3 linked regions of the Schizosaccharomyces pombe genome follow. Each later gene encodes a partner of the first gene's protein in a complex. Each region holds a gene or a part of one and is shown in the gene's direction. Other genes may lie near its edges.

The links. The genes of interacting proteins can lie anywhere in the genome.
Region 2: mug178 (region 1) and mrps17 share a complex: the UniProt entries of both Schizosaccharomyces pombe proteins name them as parts of the mitochondrial small ribosomal subunit.
Region 3: mug178 (region 1) and bot1 share a complex: the UniProt entries of both Schizosaccharomyces pombe proteins name them as parts of the mitochondrial small ribosomal subunit.

What each region holds. Positions count from the first base shown.
Region 1 is NC_003423.3:3,445,877-3,450,261, reverse strand, and holds mug178 (mitochondrial 37S ribosomal protein bS1m), read left to right. Parts: upstream 1-2,037; 5' UTR 2,038-2,371; coding exon 2,372-3,049; 3' UTR 3,050-3,746; downstream 3,747-4,385. Other genes in the region: ade9 (trifunctional formate-tetrahydrofolate ligase/methenyltetrahydrofolate cyclohydrolase/methylenetetrahydrofolate dehydrogenase), read right to left, coding at 1-891, 1,159-1,295; AP-2 adaptor complex subunit Apl1, read left to right, coding at 3,930-3,956, 4,003-4,211, 4,249-4,294, 4,348-4,385. UniProt on the Schizosaccharomyces pombe protein: Component of the mitochondrial ribosome (mitoribosome), a dedicated translation machinery responsible for the synthesis of mitochondrial genome-encoded proteins, including at least some of the essential transmembrane subunits of the mitochondrial respiratory chain.
Region 2 is NC_003423.3:1,165,907-1,169,666, reverse strand, and holds mrps17 (mitochondrial 37S ribosomal protein uS17m), read left to right. Parts: upstream 1-2,369; 5' UTR 2,370-2,462; coding exon 2,463-2,735; 3' UTR 2,736-3,147; downstream 3,148-3,760. Other genes in the region: protein duc2, read left to right, coding at 1-113; DNA recombination protein Saw1, read left to right, coding at 618-980; rRNA processing protein Tsr2, read right to left, coding at 1,333-1,605, 1,867-2,133; rib4 (6,7-dimethyl-8-ribityllumazine synthase), read right to left, coding at 3,420-3,760. UniProt on the Schizosaccharomyces pombe protein: Component of the mitochondrial ribosome (mitoribosome), a dedicated translation machinery responsible for the synthesis of mitochondrial genome-encoded proteins, including at least some of the essential transmembrane subunits of the mitochondrial respiratory chain.
Region 3 is NC_003423.3:2,230,926-2,235,161, reverse strand, and holds bot1 (mitochondrial ribosomal protein subunit S45), read left to right. Parts: upstream 1-2,039; 5' UTR 2,040-2,050; coding exon 2,051-2,998; 3' UTR 2,999-3,379; coding exon of another isoform or gene 3,380-3,556; 3' UTR 3,557-3,619; downstream 3,620-4,236. Other genes in the region: SAGA complex subunit Spt8, read left to right, coding at 1-1,079; SPOM_SPBC14C8.15 (triglyceride lipase-cholesterol esterase), read right to left, coding at 3,380-3,556, 3,620-4,236. UniProt on the Schizosaccharomyces pombe protein: Component of the mitochondrial ribosome (mitoribosome), a dedicated translation machinery responsible for the synthesis of mitochondrial genome-encoded proteins, including at least some of the essential transmembrane subunits of the mitochondrial respiratory chain.

The sequences.
Region 1 (4,385 bases):
GAAGGAACAGGCTTCTTTAACTCTAAAGGATTTAAGTCAATTTTTCGATAAATGTTTTCTGTTCTAGCTATCTTGGCAGCGTTTACAATATTTTCCATTAGCATAGCAACAGTCATCGGTCCGACGCCTCCAGGGACAGGAGTAATGCTGCTAGCAACTTTGGATGCAGATTCGAAATGCACATCGCCAACCAAAACGCGTTTTCCATTTCTTTGAACAGCGTTTATGCCAACATCTACCACAACAGATCCTGGTTTCAACCATTCACCACGAACAAATTCGGGTTTGCCTAATGCTGCTATAACCAAATCAGCATTAGAAATGTGCTGAATTAAATCTTTAGTTTTAGAATGACAGACAGTTACTGTAGCATTGTCCTTTCTCAACAAGTAGCTAATTGGATTTCCGACAATGTCACTTCTTCCCAGAACTACAGCGTTCAATCCAGCGACTGAAATCTTGTTATCTTTTAATAACTCCATAATACCTTTCGGGGTACAGGGATAATGAATGGGGGTAGCATCATTCTTTGCCAATAAACCAATGTTAAATGCACCAAATCCATCAACGTCTTTCGGCGGAGTGATAGATTCAGTAACTGTACGCTCATTGAGATGCTTGGGAAGAGGAAGTTGGACAAGGACACCGTGAACCGTATGATCGTCATTCAATTTTTTTAATTCATGAAGCAAGGCAGGCATTTGGATTGTTTCAGGAAACGGGCAGTATTTAAAATCAATACCAACTAATCGTGCCGCCTTTTCTTTCATTCGAACGTACACGTTAGAATCCTCACGTTTTCCAACCTGTACAATGGCAAGCGCCGGCTTAAAGTTTCGATCCTTAGCTTTCAAGGCCTGCACTTCTTCAGCAACAGAACGTTGTAATTTTCTAATTAGTCGCTACATTAGTAACCTCAAAGAGAAATAAAAATATAAAGTTTTAAGAGCAAAAAAATCTGATGAAACCTCAAACGTGCTGCAATGCCCAATACAATTTTTTAACTTCTAAGTATCGACAAAAAAATTGAAGAATATACGGAATTAAGCAATGTACGCAAATCAATTTTCAAACCACCAAAATTTTATCGTCAAAGACAAACACAGAAATGCACGCTCATCTGCATAGAGAAAATTTAGAATATAAACTTTATCTTACCTTGCCAATAATTTTCCATTTAGGATATTCGCAGAACTTGAAGTACCATACGACTGAAAAAGCCATTTCGATGGCCGTAAGCTGTTGCTTTCTAGAAAATAGTTTCGTAATTGATTAAACGAAACCATTACGTTCATAGAAAGACACCCAGAAGTGGTAGGGTAGTAAGGGAACCTGCCTGTCCTCTGGTGGTGTGTTAAAGCAAAATTTTTATTGGTAGTCAGGTAATCTATGTTGAATAATACGCTTACAGTAGAATATGAACCGAAACATTTTAATAGCGATTGTATTAAAGCAATGTATTCATTCTCGTATAATTTATTCTTCAAGCTCGAATAGTGACTGGAACAATTGCATTATTGCAAATCATAATGTATTGAACAAGTAATAATATACCTAAGCCTTTGAGATAGCTAATAAGCACACAAATAGTCAAAGAAAAAGTTTAAAAATCTGTTACATGATATACAGAATCTCAAGATCAAATATAATAGACAAATATAAACAACAAACGATCTGACAAGCAACTCATTAATTATCAGTAAATAAACTTAGACTAGAAAAATCATATAGTTTAGTTTAGTAGAGATAAACTCATTAATGAACAAGGAAGAACACACAAATTTACCGAAAGTTAACCTTTATAAGTTTCACTTTTCTTATGATAGCCATACCTTTAGTATTACTAATTTATAATTATAAAAAAAATTCCCGTTAAATTTAATAAGTACAAGCTAAAATCGTACTCAGTCATGGTTTACTCGAGTGTAAACAATTAAAGCACTCTGTTTCTCTATCCAACAGTGTGCGAGTCAAGTAACATTGCTACTTGAGGAGAGTGAACGTTTACTACACAACATGCCGACATGACCTCCTAACGAAAGCGATTCTATAACTTCAAACTAGCTATTGTAACATTGGCCATAATTTTGTATATTAATAGAGAGAATTTCATCTCGTATATACTTTTCATGAGTGTGCACACTTGATGTAAAACACTTCGCAAGCTGGATTGCACGACAAAAGTATATAAATAGCTGGCATCAAAAAATTACAGTCGTATTCGTGTGTTTTCTGAGTGATTGCTATTGATATTGACAATATTGACTCATTAGAAGTACCCACTTTCGTTCAGCAGTTACTTTTCGGTGGTGGTTTACATTGGGCAGAATTTGGATGTTTCTGACAAAGTATATCTTTAATCAAAATTATAATGAAGTTTCCTGATTTGTTGAGATGCTCCCGAGCAGTTAGTTTAGCAAGACCAGACTTGCCGAGGAACTCCCCTGATGTCTATGATACGAAGATTCCCATCCTACAAGCAATTACTGCGAAGAAATGCCAAAGATTTCGCGGCGATTGGGGAGCTAAGAGGAAGTTACCGATCCTAAAAAACCGTCATATTTCCATACAAAAGTTTGACACATTCGAGCATCAGTGTGCCTTCATCAGCAGTGACAGATTCGTACGCACCTTGAAACGAATTTACGACCTTAAGCTCCCTGTTCCGCTTAATGATTATGAACAAATTTCCCCTTACCTTTTACAGAAATACAACACTTTCTCAAGCTCAAATCCTAAATCCAGACCTACACTTCCACCAGGTATATTATACGCCAAATTGAAACTTTTAGATTCTTTTTCTGATTCTGAAAAGAAGCGCCTAAGTTTAGTATCCTTTATTCAAACTAAAAAAGTCCCGTTACCATTTACTTACGGAAAATTTGCACCCGACTCTAAAGAATGTTTATTTGGTGTCTCAGGAGTTATAGCTGCTACTTCTCTCAAAGGAATTACTTCAACAAAAAATCGATACGTAATTCGATCTCTTAATGTCGATGAAACCGGTAAAACCATTCCAAATATCACACGAGAAAATAGGAGTATTTAATACCATAATACAAGTTGACATTGACAATAAAAAACAGTAAAACGATTATTTCTCCCGTGAGTCACTTCGGTTTTCTTAAAACAATAGCTTTTCTTTCAAGGAATTGTTTCTTAATATTGTTTTCGTCTGTTGATAATCGTCTATTATGAAGATCCATCCATATTTAACATTTATTTCATCTGCTTACGATCCTGAGTTTTTGAGTTAGGGAAATTAATTGCACGGACTACTTTCTCCTTGAGCTATCATGATATGCCTTTAAGATCATTAAATATTTTTAACCGTTATTTTGCATTGTAGTGAACCGCTTTTTTCTCCCTCTTTTTGTTCATGGAGAGATTCTATACACCTATTACTTTTTCTAGGAAATAATATTGTCAACAAGCTTGTTTATTATTCCCACCATTCTTGTTTAAAAAAGATTGAATTTTTATTGTTTGTTTTTTGAGTGATTTTAACTTATTTTGGTTCTTGTAATTTTCGTTATGGCCGTATCGCATTACTGGAAACCTACGATGTTCCTAAGGGTGTCCGTTTATATTGAACTCTGTTTGGTTTATATTATGTACGCACGTGCTAAAAAATTTGCATAAATAAATTAATAAGCTTATATCAATCAACGCTTCCCGACAGTGTATTAAATTGTAAATCCGATAAACTTTGTAAACGTCTTTTGAATTTGCTTCTTAATTACCCAGTTACTCTAGTACCTACTAAGAGATAAAATCGTGTTTTATTAGCAATCATTATTTTTCTTTTCTTCGTACAATCTTTTATTCAAGCATTTTACTGTAACTCGTTATTTTGCTTTGTACAATAACACTCAGTATTATACCACAATACATTTTGAATGTTAACACGTACATAGCATGTTGTTATAATGTCGAGTAGTTCAAGTCATTTTTCGGTAATTTAACTTTCATAAAATTCGGAATTACTAACTTAAACAAAAGTCTACCGCTGCTGATTTGCTAGCAGTCTTCAGCTCAGATAATAAGGACAAATCTGCAAACAAACGAATTTCTGCTTTAAAGAAAGCAATTGCAGGCATATCTTATGGATATGATATGAGTTCACTGTTTCCATCGGTGATATCTTCTATGGAATCTAATAATCTAGAATTAAAAAAACTATGCTATTTGTACTTGAAAATTTACGCGAGGTTTGTAAAAGTTTCTTTATTTTTTACTAATTGACAGCGTGAAACCCACAGAGGCGAAGAGAGCTGTTAAACTTATTTTGAATGTAATTTTCTAATTTGTACATCTCTTATGATGATGGATGTTAACCTCTTTTAGGACATTTATTCTTCCAACCCTATGATTAGGTCCTTAGC
Region 2 (3,760 bases), 2.3 Mb from region 1:
CTTATACAAAAATGAGTTTCTCAATAAAAAATTACTATAATGGTCAACCTTTACGATATTTTTGCAAAACTAGAGATGGGAATGTCATCTTTGCTGTTGAATTTGATCTGTAATTTTGATTAATACCTCAAGCCAACAGCAGTGGATAGATGGCAAGTGATGTTTGCTAGGCGAACGGTATTATCTTTTTTTTTTTTGAAAAACTTTTGCTTTAATCGAAAAGATAATATGTTGGTCACAACTACTTTTCACAATACTTTTAGCCCTAATGTCTGCTCGTTTGCTATAATGAAAAAGACACCATTTTGATCGTTTACATCTCGATATATTTATTTGTTGTTAGATTCTCTCTTTTGAAGGATTATTGTTGTTCATATACTTAACTACTTGGCTAGTTAAAAAATAAATAATAAATAGCATTCCTAAAAAGTCGTTATGTTTACGACTCATTTACTTGACTGTATTCCCATCTTAGAATTGAAATTTATAAGTCGTCTTTTGTTGTATATAATTTAACTTAATACATGGAGTATTGAGAAATTCAAAGAGTTTTGTCATTTGCTTTTTTTGGCTATGGTTGACCATCCTCCCGTATCTAACCAGACACCAAGGTGCAAATGTGTTCTGTTGAGAAAATTGTGAGGTTGAGGCATAACTTGTTGTGTCACGTTCGAATTCATTTTAAAACAAAAGAAGACCTTGATATTCGGGCTTTCCTTTTTTCCCTACAGCGTGAATTGCATGCAGTTGCATTTCTCAACCAAGGATCCATCCGCACGCTCTACGAGAAAAGAGTAGTGGATATTACGAGTGAATCGGTCCAAAGCCATGCAATCATCGAAACTGCTAGAAATTTTGCACTACCAAATACTGCTGAAGAGGAGGAAAACATGGATCGAAAGCCAGAATTGCAGTTGAGTTTTAAAGGATCAATGACTAGTAAAATAATACATATTTATGTACAACCATTCGATTCATGAAAGAATGTATTTTGCGCCTTTTTACGTCTGCATGACTAAAATACACTCTATTTACAGCCTAATCTCATAAAAAACAAGTATTAAAAATTTGAGAAGTGAAAAAGCTGCTCAATTTAACTCGTATTCGTATTTTGGCGGATCACGTTCTTCTATACTTTTAACTACATCTTCTTATGACACGGATTACAAAGGCTTAAAAAATATAAGAGTTATTTCGATCCCAATTTTCAATTTTCAAACCAAAAACTTGAATTTTTATTATCCCCCAAAATACAAAAAAGATAAAACCAATTGCTCCCAGCAATAATGCTCATTTAATGATACCAAAAGATATAAGAATAGTACATCCTCTTTAACGACGTCTTTTCTGGACAACGGTGAATCCATCATCATCAACAATGGGTCCCTGCTGCTTTTCCTGCTGATTTTGAGCAGCTCCTCCATCCTCAGCATCAACAATCGTTTCGTCTTCTACCAATACCGGAGGATTTGACTCTTCTCTAGTTTTTTCCTTTCCTTCCTCCTTTTCAAGCAATTGTTTTCCGAGACGCTCATGGATTTCACGAATAGGTTCATAATTATCTTCGCAAGCAGCTTTCCACACATTAACCAAATCTTGAGCCAACTAAATAGACTGTTAATAGACGTATCACTTGATAATTATTTTAAATGCTAATAGAAGTAAAAAATTTTTAATATAGACAACAGAACGCAATATGTGTATAAACTCGAGCTTTTGACTAATATTCCAATATTTCGTCCTCAAACTTAAATCATTTTTTCGGTGCCAATATATATATACGAATCTTCAGTCTCAAGCAAGCTTGTTACGTTCTTTCTTGTTTGAAAAAAATCTTTACCTAATTTAGTATTGGTGAATACTTACGATATAGGGTGAGTCGTCTTCTATTGAACCAACATTGAATTCATCCTGCAGGACTTGAAGAATCAATTCTTCAACGTCCCATGCTTCCACATCGCTCGTAACTGTAATATAATCAACTAAAACTCCTGCCATCCAGTCTCGTTTATCGGCGGTATCGACATCGGCCCATTCTTCTTCAACAGCCTGTTTCATAACAGGCCATGAACATAAAAGAACACCGACAGCATATTCAAAATATGTCAGTCTCTTAGATGGGTCGTCAAACATGGCGAAAACACAGTGTCAATAACCCTCGTTCTTCTTCTCTACAAAGTCACCCTACCATAAAGTACTTTAAAATAAAATACACATACTTTTCCGATCCTCGTTATGTTGTTTATCACATTTATATATTATCATTAATTGACTTAAGGAAAGCTTATTTATGTTAAATAATTATAAGGGAAAAGACGCCGCTTCATTGCACATTTGTAAATAGGGCAATGTCAAAACTCTCTACTGCTAAAACGGTGCGCATTGATAACTTAGTTATTGTGGGTATTTAAAGGATTAGACTTACTTACTTTTCTTGTTTAATCCTAAAATTACTCTGAAGAATGAAGCTAAATTATGTGGGAATCGTGATTTCTCGTGCAATGCCAAAAACAGCGAAAGTGCGGGTTGCAAAAGAAAAGTTCCATCCAGTGGTGAAAAAGTATGTCACCCAATATCAAAACTATATGGTTCAAGATGATTTAAATTGTAATGTTGGAGATGCAGTTACAATACAGCCATGTAGGCCTCGGTCAGCGACTAAACGCTTTGAAATCATAAAAATCTTAAGCACAGCCAACCGTATGAGCCCAGCATCGGAGATTTCGAAAGAGTAAATAAAAAATCCCCATTAATTTTTGATGATTCCTAATGATTTCGATTGATCCATTGTGATAAGTCTTTCGCGGTGGTCATGAATATTGTAAATCGGTGATTGACCGCTCTTTCTTAACTTGCCAATTACCTGTATACACCGATATCGATTTTAACTGGAAATTTTTACATTCACAATGGCTACGTAATGTTGCAAATTGTAGATTGTGCATCAGAAGAGTCTCAAATCACATTCATTTCTAAAAGAAAACTACTCTTGTAGTACCATGTTTCCTGCTCCCAGCATTCAATGCCTTTAAATTTGTTTACAACTATGTCAATAATACTTCTGTAACATCTTTTTTTGTAAAAAGGGCAAGTGATTGAACAAGATGCATATAGACAGTAATATATTCAAAATAAAGCTTACAAAACATAATAAGTTGGGATTAAGTCTTAAGCAAATTTAAAACATCGTATACATTAACCCATAGCTGTATATCTTAACAAACTGGGGAATCATGAAAATACGTTGCAAACGATTGAATGAAAAACATACTTGTTCAACTAAGACGGTGCTCATAAGAAAGCGACAATGTATAAAGGATCATGACTAAAGCTTTAGCATGTCAGTAGGTCCTTTCGAAGAGCAAAACAGTCAGTAGCATATTTTATTAACAAAAAAATGAGCAAAGGATTCAACTTAATTAATACAAAGCTTTCAATCCCATCTCTACAGCAGCTGATCCCCAATCATTTCCATGGTTATGGCCACCATTCAAACCTGCACGATAAAGAGCTTGCTCTTCATTTAAAACTGTTAATAGACCTAGAATGACGGGAACACCTGAATCAAGGCCAACGCGCATAAGACCATGAACAACAGCTTCTGAAATATATTCAAAATGCATGGTGGAACCTTTGATTAAAACGCCAATGCCAATAACAGCATCATATGTATTGCGGGCGATGGAAGCACGAATACCTTGAGGAAGTTCCCAACTTCCCGGAACACTTTCAATGTCAATATTCTCCAACTTCACATCAT
Region 3 (4,236 bases), 1.2 Mb from region 1:
CAGTAACGAAGGCTGGAATATTACTCAACTACTGGGAGAATGCTTACGATGGAAATAAACCATCTTCGGTATATAGCCTTGCAGCTCATTCCAGAGGTCTTTGGGTTCTTTCGGGCGTCAATAATGGAGATATTATACTGTACTCTACAAGACATCAAGAGGGTTATCCCGTTACTTCTTTAAAAAAGCATACGGCTCCTGTTTCGTGTTTAGCATTACATGGTTCCGAGAAAAAAGTATTGAGTGGAAGCTGGGACAAAATGGTTTATTACTGGGACCTTAACACTGGTGATGCAATATCTACATACAATTGTGAGAGTGGTCAAATTTCGAATATAGTTTATCGTCCATCAGGCGCTGTAAATCCTTGGGGTTCTGAATCGGACGACATGCGTAGTTTGTTCGGTACACCTGCGTCTTCCTCTTCTTACGATGCACTGTTTGATGAAGAGGTGGAAAAAGCCATTGAAGAAGAAACTAAATCTGTTCAAGCAAATGAGGAGAACGAGACAGAAAAACCCTCTCAAACCGAATCTACTACTAACAATGACAACATAAAAGCTCCTTCCGAATCTTCATCCGAAGAGTCCAATATTTTCTTAACGACGTCTATAGATGGAGTTATGAATGTATGGGACCATCGCATGGTCGATTCTGTTCTCAAATACCCCGTCCCCAAGGGTGTACCACCATGGGCTATGTCTGCATGTTGGAGTCCGGATGGAAATAATATATATATTGGCCGCCGAAATGGAATCGTCGAAGAATATAACATTCACTCTGGCAAGGAGCCTGTTCGCTCTTTAAAAATGCCTCTCGATTCGGGTCCTGTTTCAAATGTCTATTCGATGCCGAATGGCCGTCACCTTGTAATTTCCTCCTTTGATAATATCCGCCTTTATGATCTTCAAAGCAAGGCCGGCATAGGGTTCTTAATTATTCCAGGTCATCATGGAGGTCTTGTCAGTTCGCTTTATGTAGACACTTCTTGTCAATTCATGTTTTCAGCTAGTGGAAATCGAGGATGGCAAGGAACTACTACTGAAGTGTTCCTCGGATACCAAATAATGACTTCATAAAATGCTTTCTCTAAAACACATATTCGCAATAATGTACATTATGATAATAGACTGAAAGGAAGTGGGTTACGATTTAGTCGGTCAAATACAAAATGGTCTTTGAAAGGCACTTTGGATTTTGCCTTAGTAGGGTCAATTATATGCCTATTGTCGTTTAACTTTAAAAATCTTTTTGAATTGTCTCCCTTTCAACATTTGAAATAAACATCTCAGTTAAAGTTTTTAGAATAATTGTTAAGCCCATGCACTCTTCATTAGTTGATTGCTTTTTGGGTTTTTGGTTACTCTCTAAATAATTTGAGGTAAGTTTATAAATGTTTCCTTAAACCTATTTCCCCTTTTTTGCCGAATATAATAAACTTAGGTATTAAGCTGAGATTGTTGGTTATGAACTTTCTGACAAATATGATACACAAATCGTTTTGTTTGTATAACATGTATTCTAAAACTTTCCTCTACTTTAATTTTCAATTTGGAATTTCCTAATCAATTTAATGCCATCCATCCGCTTTATTATTTGTTGATGTGTCAATTGCCAAACAAAAATATCAAGGACATGCGAAACTCTTGTCTAAAGAAGCAATGACCGTATTTAATGAATTTTTTTCGTTTGATTCTGTAGAAATTATGACTTAAATTGTGTATTTATTTTTTAAGTATTGATGTGTATAACTGTTCGTATCCTAATATTGGAACTGACTCTCAAACATTCTATAGAATAAACAAAATCTTACTTTATTGCATACTGAGAGTTATTGTCTCATAAATAAATCAAGCGTCTGTATGTTAATCGGATCTTATAATGGAGCTAGATTGCTTGACCGCCGGAGGTTAAATTTGAGTTTTCCTAAATCGTCTCATTAATTATTGGTTTTTTGAAGTTTATTTTCTATATCTATCTTGATGAATAGAATTAGGGCGTGTTACTAACTTTTGGGGAGTGACACAAGAAACCTTTCCAACGCACCTAAATGAGGAATTCAGTGGAATTCTCACAGTTAGGGCTTAAAACGGCTTTTAATTTATCTCAAAATAAAACTTATACCTCAGCAGTCAAGAAACAATTCTTTAGTACTGGAGCATTTTTAAGCAATGGGGGAAATATTGATTTAAATAAACACACTCAAAAGAACATTGATTCAAAGTACGTTGCTTGCAACTCAAGATCTGTAACACCCCCAAATGATGTTGCTTCTTCAGTTTCTAAGAATACACTTCGTCATAAACAACGTTTAATGATGGCTCAATGGTTAATGTCTCCCGAAGTACAGAAAGCAAAGTCCTCATCATCTGGTAATGTAGGCTTGGGACCTAATACAAATCAGCCCTTCCCTTTAAACCCTTTTTTTAAGCCTCCTAGGCCTATATCTCATTCTTTGCGTATGAAAATTACCGATGAATACTTGCAGGGTGCAAGTATAGAAGTGCTTGCTCGAAAATTCAACACATCTCCACAAAGGATTGAAGCTCTTATAAAGTTGAGAAGAATAAATGATGAATTCGAAGAAAAAAAGAAGCCGATTCTTCATAGTTATAATGAAGTTATGGAGAAAATGCTGAACGCATGTACTAAACCTGAGATGATGCAGTTTAATGACGGAAACGATATTCCTTTGCGTTCCAATCCAGTATCCCTTTGGAAGAGTTTGCCTGAGGGAGAAACGTTTACACCTCAAGAGGCTGCTAAAATCCTGAAGTGGCCTTCGATTGAGGAATTAAACATGAGACAAAACGCTACTCACTTCCACAAAACATCTGATGAGCACAAAGATTTGAATGAAGATGAAGAGCTAATTTCTTCAAGCCCCAGCGAAGTTGGGAAGCGTGTTTTTAGGCTCATTGATCTTTCTACTGGTAATGTGTATAGAAGGGATACCGGCGGGGATATTTATGTTAAGAGAAAAAAATCTACTACCTGAAAATCAAGCATTTATTTCCCGTTTTTGAAAGAAAATTTACCCCCTTAGCATGCATTAGCGGCAGTACAATCCATTTCAAACTTTTGCGAAATAAAATCTTGAATTGTTACAAATTCACTCAGCAAATTCTTCTAGTTGTTGCATTATCTAAAAGTTATTTGTACATATAAAAATTGCATAGTTTTTTTTGCTTTCGTTGCCATATTGACTTTTTCAAATTAAACAAAGAAACTTTTTTTAGCCGTTTAATACAAATACTGATAAGAAGGGTTGCACATACGATGAAACAGTCTATACAACACTGTGCTTCAGTTTGATTTAGAACAGAAACTTATCTAACATATTAAATATACATTGTGCCAGTTTCAGAAGCGATGAACACTATATTGTATGGTTCATAACGCCGTCAACCAATTCTGTGTCAAGTCCAAATTCTTCTTTTATGCTTTCAAAGTAATCTCCAGCAATGACATGATTTAGTTGTTCTACGACTTGCTGAATTACTATGTCCTTTTTCGTATCTCCCATGATGATGTCGAGATGCTCATAGTTAGGAATCTTTAATTTTAACTTGTTAGTTTCCACTTAAGTAAATGAAGCTACAACTGTTTCAGAACATACCTGAATGCATTGAGATAATGGTGGAAGTTGGGTCTTGAGTGTTTCAATGTCCACCATGTTATCGTTACTGCCATAAACTAAAGTAATAGGTAGACGTATATTTTCAATCGGATAGCGAGCAATTCGGTTAAGATTTGTATAGTAACTTGGCTTAAATCCTGGACTGTCATCGTACATTTGTAATACTTTGCGACGCGTAATTTGAGCCCAATGTACAAAGCATTTGACAGAAGTAAAGGAATATAGATGGGAGTATGCAACGATTTTCTGAGTTTCGGAAATATTTTTTCCGGTCCAGCTCAGAAAAAAGCGAAGAAACAGATCAACAATTTTTGCAAAAACTGGCGGATATAAAACTGCTTGCCAAAACACAGCAGAACCAAGCATGGAATTTCGACCGAACATTAGGTAAAGAAGTTGGCTATTAGCGTGAATAATAGATTTAACGGTTCTACCACTATACTTTTTAGGAGCAATTGCAGGAGCTAGAGCAATAAATGCTCGTACGGAATTGCGAAGTTCAGTATCAATAGACAGCGCTGCAAATGCTAATATAGCGCCCTGAGAAAATCCAACAAGGCTTATAGAATCAAAACTGTTAACGGACAGTATATATT